Linked DNA regions of Pelodiscus sinensis. The protein of the gene in region 2 interacts with the protein of the main gene of each other region in a biochemical or structural test. Links are inferred from orthologs where the notes say so. Each region holds a gene or a part of one and is shown on either strand. Other genes may lie near its edges.

What was found.
Region 1: the proteins of RP2 (region 2) and ARL3 form a complex in vitro, tested with the Homo sapiens proteins (2 studies listed by BioGRID). The link is inferred for Pelodiscus sinensis from reciprocal best matches to the Homo sapiens genes RP2 and ARL3.

The regions. Positions count from the first base shown.
Region 1 is NC_134718.1:72,680,796-72,688,886, reverse strand, and holds the start of ARL3 (ADP-ribosylation factor-like protein 3), read right to left. Parts: upstream 3,067-8,091; 5' UTR 2,925-3,066; coding exon 2,922-2,924; intron 1-2,921. UniProt on the Homo sapiens protein: Small GTP-binding protein which cycles between an inactive GDP-bound and an active GTP-bound form, and the rate of cycling is regulated by guanine nucleotide exchange factors (GEF) and GTPase-activating proteins (GAP).
Region 2 is NC_134711.1:225,182,577-225,190,137, forward strand, and holds the start of RP2 (protein XRP2), read right to left. Parts: upstream 3,084-7,561; 5' UTR 3,012-3,083; coding exon 2,898-3,011; intron 1-2,897. UniProt on the Homo sapiens protein: Acts as a GTPase-activating protein (GAP) involved in trafficking between the Golgi and the ciliary membrane.

The DNA.
Region 1 (8,091 bases), on a different chromosome or scaffold from region 2:
AAAGGGTACAGAGAAGAGCGACAAGAATGATTAAAGGTCTAGAGAACATGACCTATGAAGCCAGGCTTCATGAACTGGGCTTGTTTAGTTTGGAAAAAAGAAGATTAAGGGGGGACATGATAGCGGTTTTCAAATATCTAAAAGGGTGTCACAAGGAGGAAGGAGAAAATTTGTTCCTCTTGGTTTCTGAGGACAGGACAAGGAGTAATGGGCTTAAAGTGCAGCAGGGGAGGTTTAGCTTGGACATTAGGAAAAAATTCCTAACTGTCAGGGTGGTCAAATATTGGAATAAATTGCCAAGGGAGGTGGTGGAATCTCCCTCTCTGGAGATATTTAAGAACAGGTTAGATAGACATCTGACAGGGATGGTGTAGACGGAGCTTGGTCCTGCCTTGAGGGCGGGGGGCTGGACTCGATGACCTCTCGAGGTCCCTTCCAGTCCTATTATTCTATGATTCTATGACTCCTGCCTCTGATCAGCCCATGGTACAAGCCTCCATTGTCCATTTGTTAAATTTCAGGACAAGCATTTTTGTGCTTTCTTCTAATCAGACTTAGGAAGATTTCCTGTAAACATCTGCAGAGCTACCTCATTCGCCTTCTTCAAAACCCTCCTTTTCCATTATGTCTACAAAAGTATTGACCACACTTTTAAGTTGTGCCAAGATCACTGCCTTCCATGCTGACCAGCATTGTCTCGTTTCCCTGTACTCTCCCACTGGTCTATCTTCATCTGCGGTCTCTTATTTTAGGCTGTAAGCTCCTAGTTCCTTTCCCTATCTTTTTGTTCTGTGTTTGTACAGTGCCTAGCACAGTGGGGTCCTCACCCATAACTGAGGCTCCTGCACTCTGCAGTAGTGAGTAATAATAATTCTAAAATCATTGCTTAAGACAGAGGATGCCAGCAGGAAGGTTTCACTGCATTTATATAGTATTTGCCAGTTCGGATCAAACAAATGGTCTACTGAGTCTAATATGCCATCAGTGGTGGCTAGTAGCTGATGTTTCATTCCTAGTTCATTGTGTAATTCTGTACACAGCGTGTAAGGGTGCACACTTACTGCAGCCGATTAGCTGATGCCCTGAAGAAGTCTGATTACCTTTCTCTTAGCCTGCATAACTATCGCTGTTATATAAAAGCACTAAACCTTTTTCAAAACAATGGGAGCATCTTAATCTATTAAGCACAGGTTATTCAGTACTACTACTAACACAGGCAAAATTAACTCAATTACTTGTTATGCAAACTCTAGACTATGATATCAATCAATGCATACATTTTCCCCCCTGCATTTGCTGGAGTCAATTCACCTAGAATGTTTTTCCCGCTCAAATCCACAGACATAGTTTTCTTGCAAAAGTGGTCCTACAAAATGTAATTAAATGTCAACACAGATGTTGGAAGCTGTTAATCTTTTTCCTTCATCGTTTGTCAGCATATCCCAAACTTTACAAAGCAGAAGTGCAACTTTGTCAGCAACCACTGCCCAAGTGAAAGCGTAGTTTGTGGAGTGCTACACTGCATTATGTAATTGCCCTCATCTTAAAGCAGATGTATTTCCTGCGATGAACACTGTGTCTAGTATGTAAAGCTGCCCCACCATCAACTAACCAGCAAAGGAGCAGAGTCCCTACCTAATCTTTGTCTCCACATCTTTTATGATAGGTCAGGGTAAAGCATTGCAGGCTAGAATGGGTGAGGAATATAGCATGCAACATCATCACAGTAAAGATGCTGCATGTGCTATGTTCCTAGCATGCTATCCTTGTAGCTCCACAAATAGGGGAAATATGGTTGCCCCTTGCCCTGGACCAATATGTGCAAAACTAGGCCCACATCTCTATGGACCAGAGGACTGAATGCAGCCCCCTATATGTAGGGTTACTGGAAGCTGTTCATCCCTTTGTCCCATTGTCATAAGCTTGTCCCTTTAGTTTCTGCACACAGCCAGCAAACCCACCATCCTGCCCTAAGGCTAGTCCTCCTGCCCCTGCACACGGTGGGATGGGATGCTTCCCTGCAGCAGTTGTCTCAGCCCCTTCCCACCCTCGCCCCGTATGCCTGAAACTTCTGAGTGCCTGCCTGTCCTTTCCCTTTCAAGAAGGCTCCCAGGCCGGTTCCCCATTCCTCCCTCCCTCCCTCTTCATAGCACTCCAGCACCCATCCTACCCTCTTCATCCAGGCCTGGCTCTCAGAACCCCAGGCCCCAACACTGCTTCCTCCCCACCCAGGCTGACCCCTCCAGTCCCTTCCTCATCTAGACTGGACCCCCATCCCTCTCTCCATAGCACCTTAACCCCCCACCCCATCTCATCACCACCCATCTCTCCCCAGCCTGGCTGTGACCCTCAGATCCCCACCCTCCCCCCAGGCTCAGTCCCAACACCCCAGTCTCCCCTTCCCACCTCCCCCTGAGGCTCGGTCCCAACACCCCAGCCCCCCCCCTCCCCAGGCTCAGTCCCAACACCCCCTTTTCCCCTTCCAGGCTCGGTCCCAACACCCCAGCTCCCCCTCCCCCCCAGGATCGGTCCACACCCCAGCCCCCCCTCCCCCCCAGGATCGACCCCAGCCTCCCCCCAGGCTGGGTACCAACACCCCCTCCCCCCCAGGCTCGGTCCACACCCCAGCCCCCCCTCCCCCCCAGGCTCGACCCCAGCCCCCCCCCAGGCTGGGTACCAACACCCCCTCCCCCCCAGGCTCGGTCCACACCCCAGCCCCCCCTCCCCCCCAGGCTCGACCCCAGCCCCCCCAGGCTGGGTCCACACCCCCGCCCCCCCTCCCCCCCAGGCTCGACCCCAGCCCCCCCAGGCTGGGTCCACACCCCAGCCCCTCCCTGGCTCTCCATATCACCCGAGCCCCCCCAGCCAGGCTGCCCCCCGCCCCTCCCCCACACGGCAGGACCCTCCCTGGCCGCACTCACCATCCTCCGCGCGGCTCCCGGGTTACCATGGGCAACTGCGTCATGCGCGCCGCCCCCTTCGTGCAACGTCACTCTTCTCTGCGGCACGCACTAGCGGCAAGGGGGCGGGGACAGACGTAAGCCCCGCCCCCTGGCGATCCCCCCCTCCCCTCCTTCTCCCCGAGCAGGGCGGCCCCTGTCCGGCGCATGCGTCTTAAACCGCCTTGGCTCCCAGGTCCCATGCTGACGCGAGCAAGGTGGGAGGCTGGCTCTGATTGGCTGACAAGGGCCACGCGTTAGGGAGAGGGGCGGTGAAAACCACGTGTGCCGGAGAGAGGGAGAGGGGCGCGTGCCTGGGCTGCGGAGGTAGGGAGCAGGGAAGGAGCCTAATGGGGAGGGGTTTAGAGGGAGAGCGGTGCACCAGTGCAGGGCTCAGGGGTACTGCACTGCAAGGGGGGCTGCAGGGGGGGGGGCAGTGCAAGGCTGAAGGGGCCTGGAAGGCTGCAATGGGGGCTGCAGTGGGGGGGCAGTGCAAGCATCAAGGGGCCTGGAAGGCTGCAATGGGGGCTGCAGTGGGGGGGCAGTGCAAGCATCAAGGGGCCTGGAAGGCTGCAATGGGGGCTGCAGGGGGGGGGGCAGTGCAAGCATCAAGGGGCCTGGAAGGCTGCAATGGGGGCTGCAGGGGGGGGGCAGTGCAAGCATCAAGGGGCCTGGAAGGCTGCAATGGGGGCTGCAGGGGGGGGGCAGTGCAAGCATCAAGGGGCCTGGAAGGCTGCAATGGGGGCTGCAGTGGGGGGGCAGTGCAAGCATCAAGGGGCCTGGAAGGCTCCAATGGGGGCTGCAGGGGGGGGGGCAGTGCAAGCATCAAGGGGCCTGGAAGGCTGCAATGGGGGCTGCAGGGGGGGGGGCAGTGCAAGCATCAAGGGGCCTGGAAGGCTGCAATGGGGGCTGCAGGGGGGGGGGCAGTGCATGCATCAAGGGGCCTGGAAGGCTGCAATGGGGGCTGCAGTGGGAGGGGGGCAGTGCATGCATCAAGGGGCCTGGAAGGCTCCAATGGGGGCTGCAGGGGGGGGGGGGCAGTGCAAGCATCAAGGGGCCTGGAAGGCTCCAATGGGGGCTGCAGGGGGGGGGGGCAGTGCATGCATCAAGGGGCCTGGAAGGCTCCAATGGGGGCTGCAGTGGGAGGGGGGCAGTGCATGCATCAAGGGGCCTGGAAGGCTCCAATGGGGGCTGCAGGGGGGGGGGGCAGTGCAAGCATCAAGGGGCCTGGAAGGCTCCAATGGGGGCTGCAGTGGGAGGGGGGCAGTGCAAGCATCAAGGGGCCTGGAAGGCTGCAATGGGGGCCGCAGGGGGGGGGGGCAGTGCAAGCATCAAGGGGCCTGGAAGGCTGCAATGGGGGCTGCAGGGGGGGGGGGGCAGTGCAAGCATCAAGGGGCCTGGAAGGCTCCAATGGGGGCTGCAGGGGGGGGGGGGCAGTGCAAGCATCAAGGGGCCTGGAAGGCTCCAATGGGGGCTGCAGTGGGAGGGGGGCAGTGCAAGCATCAAGGGGCCTGGAAGGCTCCAATGGGGGCTGCAGTGGGGGGGGGCAGTGCAAGCATCAAGGGGCCTGGAAGGCTCCAATGGGGGCTGCAGTGGGAGGGGGGCAGTGCAAGCATCAAGGGGCCTGGAAGGCTGCAATGGGGGCTGCAGGGGGGGGGGCAGTGCAAGCATCAAGGGGCCTGGAAGGCTGCAATGGGGGTTGCAGGGGGGGGGGCAGTGCAAGCATCAAGGGGCCTGGAAGGCTGCAATGGGGGCTGCAGGGGGGGGGGCAGTGCAAGCATCAAGGGGCCTGGAAGGCTGCAATGGGGGCTGCAGGGGGGGGGGGGCAGTGCATGCATCAAGGGGCCTGGAAGGCTGCAATGGGGGCTGCAGGGGGGGGGGGGCAGTGCATGCATCAAGGGGCCTGGAAGGCTGCAATGGGGGCTGCAGTGGGGGGGGGGGCAGTGCAAGCATCAAGGGGCCTGGAAGGCTGCAATGGGGGCTGCAGGGGGGGGGGGGCAGTGCAAGCATCAAGGGGCCTGGAAGGCTCCAATGGGGGCTGCAGGGGGGGGGGGGCAGTGCAAGCATCAAGGGGCCTGGAAGGCTGCAATGGGGGCTGCAGTGGGGGGGGGGCAGTGCAAGCATCAAGGGGCCTGGACGGCTCCAATGGGGGCTGCAGGGGGGGGGGGGCAGTGCAAGCATCAAGGGGCCTGGAAGGCTGCAATGGGGGCTGCAGTGGGAGGGGGGCAGTGCATGCATCAAGGGGCCTGGAAGGCTGCAATGGGGGCTGCAGTGGGGGGGGGGCAGTGCAAGCATCAAGGGGCCTGGACGGCTCCAATGGGGGCTGCAGGGGGGGGGGGGCAGTGCAAGCATCAAGGGGCCTGGAAGGCTCCAATGGGGGCTGCAGGGGGGGGGGCAGTGCATGCATCAAGGGGCCTGGAAGGCTCCAATGGGGGCTGCAGTGGGAGGGGGGCAGTGCAAGCATCAAGGGGCCTGGAAGGCTCCAATGGGGGCTGCAGGGGGGGGGGGGCAGTGCAAGCATCAAGGGGCCTGGAAGGCTCCAATGGGGGCTGCGGGGGGGGGGGGGCAGTGCAAGCATCAAGGGGCCTGGAAGGCTCCAATGGGGGCTGCAGTGGGGGGGGGGGCAGTGCAAGCATCAAGGGGCCTGGAAGGCTCCAATGGGGGCTGCGGGGGGGGGGGGCAGTGCAAGCATCAAGGGGCCTGGAAGGCTCCAATGGGGGCTGCAGGGGGGGGGGGCAGTGCAAGCATCAAGGGGCCTGGACGGCTCCAATGGGGGCTGCAGGGGGGGGGGGCAGTGCAAGCATCAAGGGGCCTGGAAGGCTCCAATGGGGGCTGCGGGGGGGGGGGGGCAGTGCAAGCATCAAGGGGCCTGGACGGCTCCAATGGGGGCTGCAGGGGGGGGGGGCAGTGCAAGCATCAAGGGGCCTGGAAGGCTGCAATGGGGGCTGCAGGGGGGGGGGGGCAGTGCATGCATCGAGGGGCCTGGAAGGCTGCAATGGGGGCTGCAGGGGGGGGGGGCAGTGCATGCATCGAGGGGCCTGGAAGGCTCCAATGGGGGCTGCAGGGGGGGGGGGCAGTGCATGCATCGAGGGGCCTGGAAGGCTGCAATGGGGGCTGCAGTGGGGGGGGGGCAGTGCAAGCATCAAGGGGCCTGGAAGGCTCCAATGGGGGCTGCAGTGGGGGGGGGGCAGTGCAAGCATCAAGGGGCCTGGAAGGCTCCAATGGGGGCTGCAGGGGGGGGGGCAGTGCATGCATCAAGGGGCCTGGAAGGCTCCAATGGGGGCTGCAGTGGGAGGGGGGCAGTGCATGCATCAAGGGGCCTGGAAGGCTGCAATGGGGGCTGCAGTGGGGGGGGGGGCAGTGCAAGCATCAAGGGGCCTGGAAGGCTGCAATGGGGGCCGCAGGGGGGGGGGGGGGGCAGTGCAAGCATCAAGGGGCCTGGAAGGCTCCAATGGGGGCTGCAGTGGGAGGGGGGCAGTGCAAGCATCAAGGGGCCTGGAAGGCTGCAATGGGGGCTGCAGGGGGGGGGGGCAGTGCATGCATCGAGGGGCCTGGAAGGCTGCAATGGGGGCTGCAGGGGGGGGGGGCAGTGCATGCATCGAGGGGCCTGGAAGGCTCCAATGGGGGCTGCAGGGGGGGGGGGCAGTGCATGCATCGAGGGGCCTGGAAGGCTGCAATGGGGGCTGCAGTGGGGGGGGGGCAGTGCAAGCATCAAGGGGCCTGGAAGGCTCCAATGGGGGCTGCAGTGGGGGGGGGGCAGTGCAAGCATCAAGGGGCCTGGAAGGCTCCAATGGGGGCTGCAGGGGGGGGGGCAGTGCATGCATCAAGGGGCCTGGAAGGCTCCAATGGGGGCTGCAGTGGGAGGGGGGCAGTGCATGCATCAAGGGGCCTGGAAGGCTGCAATGGGGGCTGCAGTGGGGGGGGGGCAGTGCAAGCATCAAGGGGCCTGGAAGGCTGCAATGGGGGCCGCAGGGGGGGGGGGGGGGCAGTGCAAGCATCAAGGGGCCTGGAAGGCTCCAATGGGGGCTGCAGTGGGAGGGGGGCAGTGCAAGCATCAAGGGGCCTGGAAGGCTCCAATGGGGGCTGCAGGGGGGGGGGGCAGTGCAAGCATCAAGGGGCCTGGAAGGCTGCAATGGGGGCTGCAGGGGGGGGGGGCAGTGCAAGCATCAAGGGGCCTGGAAGGCTGCAATGGGGGCTGCAGGGGGGGGGGGGCAGTGCAAGCATCAAGGGGCCTGGAAGGCTCCAATGGGGGCTGCAGGGGGGGGGGGGCAGTGCAAGCATCAAGGGGCCTGGAAGGCTGCAATGGGGGCTGCAGTGGGGGGGGGGCAGTGCAAGCATCAAGGGGCCTGGAAGGCTCCAATGGGGGCTGCAGGGGGGGGGGGGCAGTGCAAGCATCAAGGGGCCTGGAAGGCTCCAATGGGGACTGCAGTGGGGGGGGGCAGTGCAAGCATCAAGGGGCCTGGAAGGCTCCAATGGGGGCTGCAGGGGGGGGGGGGCAGTGCAAGCATCAAGGGGCCTGGAAGGCTCCAATGGGGGCTGCAGTGGGGGGGGGGCAGTGCAAGCATCAAGGGGCCTGGAAGGCTCCAATGGGGGCTGCGGGGGGGGGGGGCAGTGCAAGCATCAAGGGGCCTGGAAGGCTGCAATGGGGGTTGCAGGGGGGGGGGGCAGTGCAAGCATCAAGGGGCCTGGAAGGCTCCAATGGGGGCTGCGGGGGGGGGGGGGCAGTGCAAGCATCAAGGGGCCTGGACGGCTCCAATGGGGGCTGCAGGGGGGGGGGGCAGTGCAAGCATCAAGGGGCCTGGAAGGCTGCAATGGGGGCTGCAGGGGGGGGGGGCAGTGCATGCATCGAGGGGCCTGGAAGGCTCCAATGGGGGCTGCAGGGGGGGGGGGCAGTGCATGCATCGAGGGGCCTGGAAGGCTGCAATGGGGGCTGCAGTGGGGGGGGGGCAGTGCAAGCATCAAGGGGCCTGGAAGGCTCCAATGGGGGCTGCAGTGGGGGGGGGGCAGTGCAAGCATCAAGGGGCCTGGAAGGCTCCAATGGGGGCTGCAGTGGGGGGGGGCAGTGCAAGCATCAAGGGGCCTGGAAGGCTCCAATGGGGGCTGCAGTGGGGGGGGGGGCAGTGCAAGCATCAAGGGGCCTGGAAGGCTCCAA
Region 2 (7,561 bases):
ACTACTATTTCTCAACACAATGCAAAACAAAAAAGTAGTATTGACTACAACTGGCAGCCAATACAAAAAGACAAAGAGAAAGGGTAATGAATATTTGAAGCAGTTTCTATATACCTTTCTTGAGACATTCAAAAGTTAAATATTTAATCCTGCGGTTTTCAGTATGGTCCTCTGAACTCAGAAGACAGAAGTCATTGCATGTGATATCTGAAAAGAGGAAGCCCTTGCACAATTGGCTATAAACATTATGTGCAACAACTTTATATTTAATAATGAGATTCTCTTTCATACAGAGAACTGTTTAAAATTTTGTAATCTATTAGAGACTTTACAAACATTAACTTCAAATGTACTCTACTGTAATGTCTGAGACACTGTTCCTAATGTGGTAATATATTCACCTCCGAGAAATCAGCTCAGCATAACACCGAAGGGGTGGGCAGGCAGGAGGGCTCAGGGAGGAGCATAGAATTTTCTCTTAATGACTTGTTTTGACTTTCCTCTTTCCCCAGGGCTAGCCAGTAACTGTAACTATCAATTCATATTAAACTTATTCTTGTTGCTGAAAATAACAGGCTCAAAAATGTAGTTGACTAATTTAATTGTTTTAACTTTAAATGAGATTAATATTTTGGTGACTTCTGTAGTACCCTTTTACAAGTAAAAACCACTCTAAGTAGTAGTAACTGCTAACAGTAACACTGTGGCAAGGGAATAACATCTATAAGTAACATGGTCTCCCTCCTCCCTATGCAAGCACTGTATTAGGCAAGCTGTGCCATAAGTATTCACTAGGAAATCGAAGTATCAGGTCAGTCATGAGGTAGCCTCCTTTGTCCTTATCCTCCAAGATTTGTACATACTTAACCCCGAATCTTGGAATAATCCACTAGAAAGCTTTGTGTGTCACACCAGGGCATCTGGCCACATTTAAAAAGAAATCAAGTACGCAATATTTAAAGTTTATACCGTTTTTCTCTTTATGGCTCATAAAAGTGGCCTGTTTTTTGTTTTAACACATGCACAAAATGAATGTCTAGATTGCTCTATTTTTTCCAGGAAGTCTTAGCTATAGATGACTGGAAAACTAGCAGGATTATGACATCACAAGTACCAAGGAAGTGAAACATGAAGTGACAAATGAAAGAAGGATTTTTATTCACATTCTTTTTTGTTGAAAGAGAGAGCGCGCTCTCTCCCTCTCATATCCTGTCACTTTTTGAGCTGAAGCTCTACTTCTGAGCCTCCAAAAGGACCTCCAGCAAATAAAAGTAAAGAGTGTCAGGGGAATATAAAACACCACTTAAGAGAATATAACATGCAAGTTTAAAAAAAAAAGCCTTCCACATATGCTTGACACCTCATAATAGCTATAGGGTTGCCAGGCTGCCTCCGCATTGAGCCGGACAGGATGGGATTTTTGCCTCCTGGCGGGGGGAGGGGGGGGGGGAAATCAGAAAGTATCGGACATTTTAGGTGTCTGGTATTTTTTGAGTTTTTTTTACCAGACAGGAGGCGAAAATACCAAACTCTCTGGTTTAATACCAGACACCTGGCAACCCTAAATAGCTAGGTTAACTTTAAATATGCCTGGGTAAAGAGGCATTTCAATCAAGAAGTCAGTTTGGTTCTGTAGCTGCAGTTGAATTTTACTTTTTTTTCTAACTTGTGTCTAATGTACATAACATCCACCCCTTTTAATTACGGTTAGAAAGCCAGAGGATTAATAGAAATAAAGGTACAAACACAGCTTTGGCCCCATCTGCCACCGCTTACCATATAACTCAGTCACCAGCTAACTTAGTGCCAAAAAAGGAACAAGCTACAGTACCAATTAAATGGGAGAGGGTGAAAAACAGCCTCATGCTACTAGCATGTATTTTGCCCTATAAAGAATACTGTCAGAATATGGCAGCCCAGCCAGTAAGCAGTGTGTTGTGAAGAGGAGCAGTTTGCCCCAGTTGGCTATTACAGTCTACCCTAAAACAAAGGATTGGTAGGGCTACAGGTTGAAACTTTAGAGCTACAGGTTGAAATTCTCTCATCTGGCAACATCCATGGTCCAGCAGGATTTTAGTTAGCTAGATGACTATTTATTATGGTTGCTGCCAAGTTTCCCCGCAGTCCCATAATGTTTGTTTACAGCCACCAGTCCTAGCTCTGTGTTCTGTGCTATTATTTAGCTCTAATTTACCCCTAATTGTTTTCCAAGAGCTCAGTAAACAGTGGAAGTGCTGGTAATGTTGCTAGAGAAAACTCAACTTCCATGGTCTGGAAAATAAAATGCTCTGGATCAGCATTGGTCAGGCCCTGAGGGTGCCAGACTAGAGAGGTTCAACCTGTACTCAACCTACCCAGTGTCTGACTTATCCCATTTTTCATGGGCAGCCCTCAGCTCTGAAATCCATTCCTCCCCCTTTGGCACGCTAGCGTTCACATCGCCTGCTTCTCATGGGGACGATGCTACCACGCCCAGACAAGTATAACAAGGAACAGAAGTGGAAGCCAGCACTTGGTCCGCAGGATGGGGAAAGCGCAAGCTCCCTCCCCACGGAAGGCTACGCGGGCAATTTACGATGATGAGGAGAAGGAGCAGTAGCAAGAGTCGCATTAAGCCTGGCAAATATCAAACGCTGCTGCCCAGGGTGAGCGTCAGCGACAGTCCCAGGGGAGTGGCGGGGACAATCTCACTTTCTGAAGCGCCCGGGAGACCGCGGAGGCAACTTCCCGACCCGAAAGCAGAGCCCCGCCACCTTGCGGGGGAGGGGAAGGGGGGGCGGGGGCTAGACCAGCTACGGCAGAGCCGGGTCCGCCACAGCCCCACGGGAGCAGCACGAGCGCCGGGAAAACCGCCCGCCAGGGAGCACCGGAGGGGGGGGGGTCGGGGGCAGCGTTACCTTGTCGCGCTGGTCCCAGCTGTACTGCGGCTTCTCCTCGCCCGCGGCCGGGGGCTCCTGGCCCTGCGCGCCCCCCTTCGCCGCTTTCCGCCGCTTGGAGAAGAAGCAGCCCATGGCCCCGCCGCGCGCCTGCTGCCTCCCAGCCTGCGCCTCCCGGCAGCCAGCCGCCCCCGACGCGCTCCTCGCGCTCGCGCGCGCCACCGCCCACTTCCGGCTTCTCCTAGTCCCGTCTCCCTTGGCTACGGCAACCCGGCACCCAATCACAGCTCTGCGCCTTGGAGCCGGTCCCGCCAATCCGCGTCGCCCCCCCCGCGCTAGCCGCTCTTAAGGGGATAGGCGCCGCGTTTGGTCTGGCCCCGCCTCCTGCCCTGCCCCCGGGGAGGCGGGGGAGGCAAGGACGTAAACACATTCCACCCCCCCCCCCACACACACACACTCTCCTCCTCCCCTCCCCCCCCCACTCTCCGCCACGCCTGTCTCCTCAGTTCCCATCGGGCTGGCTGAAGAGTCACAGCACAAACCGTGCGGCAGGCACCTTGATCCGGCAGCACAGCCCCCCCCCCCAGCAGCGGGGGCCCCTGCCCTGCCAGCCACAGCACCGCCTGCCTGGGGGCGGGTCTCTGGGGGCGCGTTGTGACAGGCCAGCGCCTGCAGCCACAGCTCAGCACCTGACTGGCCCAGGGCCGCCGGGCGCCACTGGCTGAAAACCCTTCCGCGATTCTACAGAGCAGCGCGCAGCAGCGTCCACGGGGAGAGAGGGGCTGGTCTGCTCCTGTTGCCACCCCCTAGAATGTTTAGAAGGAAGCTCCCAGCCATCTTCAAGCTTTACAGCAGGACTCGCAATTTCTTTACAAAAAAAAAAAAACAACAAACCCTCAGATTTTTGTCTTAATCCTGTGATTCATAGACTCATAGGGCTCGTCGACATTGGCCCCTTTTCCGGAAGGGGCATGCTAATTTTTCAGATCATAATAGGGAAATCTGCGGGGGATTTAAATACCCCCCCGCAACATTTAAATAAAAATGTCCGCCACTTTTTTTCCGGCTTTTAGAAAAGCCGGAAAAGAGCGTCTATACTGGCCCCGATCCGGCCTGATCCTCTGGAAAAAAGCCCTTTTCCGGAGGATCTCTTATTCCTACTTCAAAGTAGGAACTGATATTTAAATCCCCCGCGGATTTCCCTATTACGACCTGTCAAATTAGCATGCCCCTTCCGGAAAAGGGGCCAATGTAGACGTAGCCATAGACTTTAAGGTCAGAAGGGACCATTATGATCATCTAGTCTGACCCCCTGCACAGTGCAGGCCACAAAATCTCACCCACCCCTCCTAGAATAATCCTCTCACCTATATCTCAGATATTGAAGCCTTCAAATACTTTGAAGACCCCAGGATGCAGAGAATCCTCCAGCTGTGATCTGTACCCCATGCTACAGAGGAAGGCGAAAAACCTCCAGGGCCTCTGCCAATCTACCCTGGAGGAAAATTCCTTCCCAACCCCAAATATGGCGATCAGCTAAACCCTGAGCATGTGGGCAAGACTCATCAGCCAGACACCCAGAAAGTTCTCTATAGTAACTCCTATCATCCCTCCATTGACCTATTTCCCACTGATAATGAATGGTCAATTAGTTACCAAGATCATGTTATTTCATCAAACCATCCCCTTCATAAACCCATCTAGTTTAATCTTGAAACCAGATAGATCTTTTGCCCCCACTACTTCCCTTGGAAGGCCGTTCCAGAACTTCACTCCTCTAATGGTTAGAAACCTTCGTCTAATCTCAAGTCTAAACTTCCTACTAGCCAGCTTATATCCATTTGTTCTTGTGTCCACATTGGTATTAAACTTAAATAATTCCTCTCCCTCCCTGGTATTTATCCCTCTAATATATTTAAAAAGTGCAATCATGTCCCCCCTCAGCCTTCTTTTGGTTAAAGTAAACGAGCCAAGCTCCTTGAGTCTCCTTTCATAAGACAGGTTTTCCATTCCTCCGATCATCCTAGTGGCCCTTCTTTGTACCTGTTCCAGTTTGAATTCATCCTTCTTATACATGGGAGACCAGAACTGCACACAGTATTCCAAATGGGGTCTCACCAATGCCTTGTATAATGGCACTAACACCTCCTTATCCCTACTGGAAATACCTCGCCTAATACATCCCAAGATCGTATTAGCCTTTTTCACGGCCATGTCACAATGGCGGCTCATAATCATTCTATAATCAACCAGGACTCTGAGGTCCTTCTCCTCCTCCGTTACTTCCAACTGATGTGTCCCCAGCTTATAACTAAAATTCTTGTTATTAATCCCTAAATGCATAACCTTACACTTCTCACTATTAAATTTCATCCTATTACTATCACTCCAATTTACAAGATCATCCAGATCTTCCTGTATGATATCCCGATCCTTTTCTGAATTGGCAATAGCTCCCAACTTTGTGTCATCCGCAAATTTTATTAGAACACTTCCACTTTTGGTGCCAAGATCAGCAATAAAAAGATTAAATAAAATTGGCCCCACAACTGATCCCTGAGGAACTCCGCTAGTAACCTTCCTCCAACCTGACAGTTCACCTTTCAATATGACCCGCTGTAGTCTCCCCTTTAACCAGTTGCTTATCCACCTCTCAACTTTCATATTAATCCCTATCTTTTCCAATTTAACCAATAATTCCCCATGTGGTACTGTATCAAATGCCTTACTAAAGTCGAGGTAGATTAGATCCACTGCATTTCCTTTATCTAAAAAATCTGTTACTTTCTCAAAAAAGGAGATCAGGTTGGTTTGGCAAGATCTACCTTTTGTAAAACCATGTTGTAATTTGTCCCAATTGCCATTAGCCTCAATGTCTCTAACTACTTTCTCCTTCAAAATTTTTTCCAGGATCTTACATACTACAGATGTCAAACTAACAGGCCTATAGTTACCCGGGTCGCTTTTTTTTCCTTTCTTAAAAATCGGAACTATATTAGCAATTCTCCAGTCAAATGGTACAACCCCTGAGTTTAGAGATTTATTAAAAAATTTTGCTAATGGACTTGCAAGTTCATGTGCCAGTTCCTTTAATATTCTTGGATGAAGATTATCTGGGCCCCCCGATTTACTCCTATTAAGCTGTTCAAGTTTGGCTTTTACCTCGGATATGGTAATATCTACCTCCTTATCTTTAGTCCCATTTGTTAACTTACCATTATCCCTAAGCTCTTCATTAGCCTCATTAAAGACTGAAGCAAAGTATTTGTTCAAATATTGGGCCATTCCTAGATTATCCTTAACCTCCACTCCATCCTTAGTAATTAGTGGTCCTACTTCTTCTTTTTTTGTTTTTTTCCTATTTATATGGCTATAAAACCTTTTACTATTGGTTTTAATTCCCTAGTTCGAACTACCGTTACTCCTCATTCCAGGAAGCCTAGTTCGAACTACCTAGTTCATGCCCCGTGTAGCCGCGTTGCACGGGGTTCGAACGAGTGGGGTTTTAAAAATGGCGGCGCCCCGCTTATGCAAATGAAGCCCAGGAAATTCAAATCCCGGGCTTCATTTGCAAGTGCGGTATGCCTACATTACCCCGCTAGTTCGAACTAGTGGGGTAGTGTAGACATACCCTGAGATGCTTGGTCTAACACACCTGCCTATAATTTTTTTCCCTTTTCTAGGGATACAGGCTTCTGACAGCTTCTGCAACTTTAACTTAAAATAATTCCAGGCCTCCTCCACTTTAAGATCCATAATTTCTTTAGTCCAATTAACTTCCCTAACTAATTTCCTTAATTTACTAAAGTTAGCTCTTTTGAAATCAAAAACCCAAGTCTCAGATTTATTTTTGTTTATCCTTCCATTTAATTTAAACTGAATTAGCTCATGATCACTCGAGACAAGGTTGTCTCCTACAACCATTTCATCTATGAGGTCTTCGCTACTCACCAAAACCAAATCTAAAATAGCATCCCCCCTTATTGGTTCAGCAACTACCTGATGAAGGAATTCATCAGCTATCACATCTAGGAAAATCTGAGCCCTAATATTATTACTAGCACTTGTTCTCCAGTCTATATCTGGAAAGTTGAAATCTCCCATGATTACGCAGTTTCCATGAGTATTTACTTCATTAAAAACATTAAAGAGGTCTCTATCCATGTCAAAATTGGATCCTGGTGGTCTATAACACACCCCAAGCACTATCCCAGGGGAGGATCTGGTAGTTTTCTTCCCCAATGTGATTTTTGCCCAAACGGACTCTGTCTTCTCCATTCCATCACTTTTTATTTCTTTACAATCTACCTCATCTTTGATATACAATGCGACTCCACCACCTTTACCCTTATTTCTGTCTTTCCTAAACAGCACATACCCTTCAATACCTGTACTCCAGTCATGCCTAGTATTCCACCATGTTTCTGTTATTCCTATAATATCTGGTTTCACTTCCTGGACCAATAACTCTAGTTCCTCCTTTTTGTTACCTAGGCTCCTCGCATTGGTGTACAAACATCTTAATTTTTGCTGTTTGGCCTCATTCACATTCTTTACCCAATTTGGCACGGACATTATACCTCCAATATGACCTATTAGACTAGTATCCACCCTACCCTTCCTCATGTTCATTCTCATACCCCCAGCTATATCCTTTCTTACTTCATTTTCCTCCTTCTCAGTGT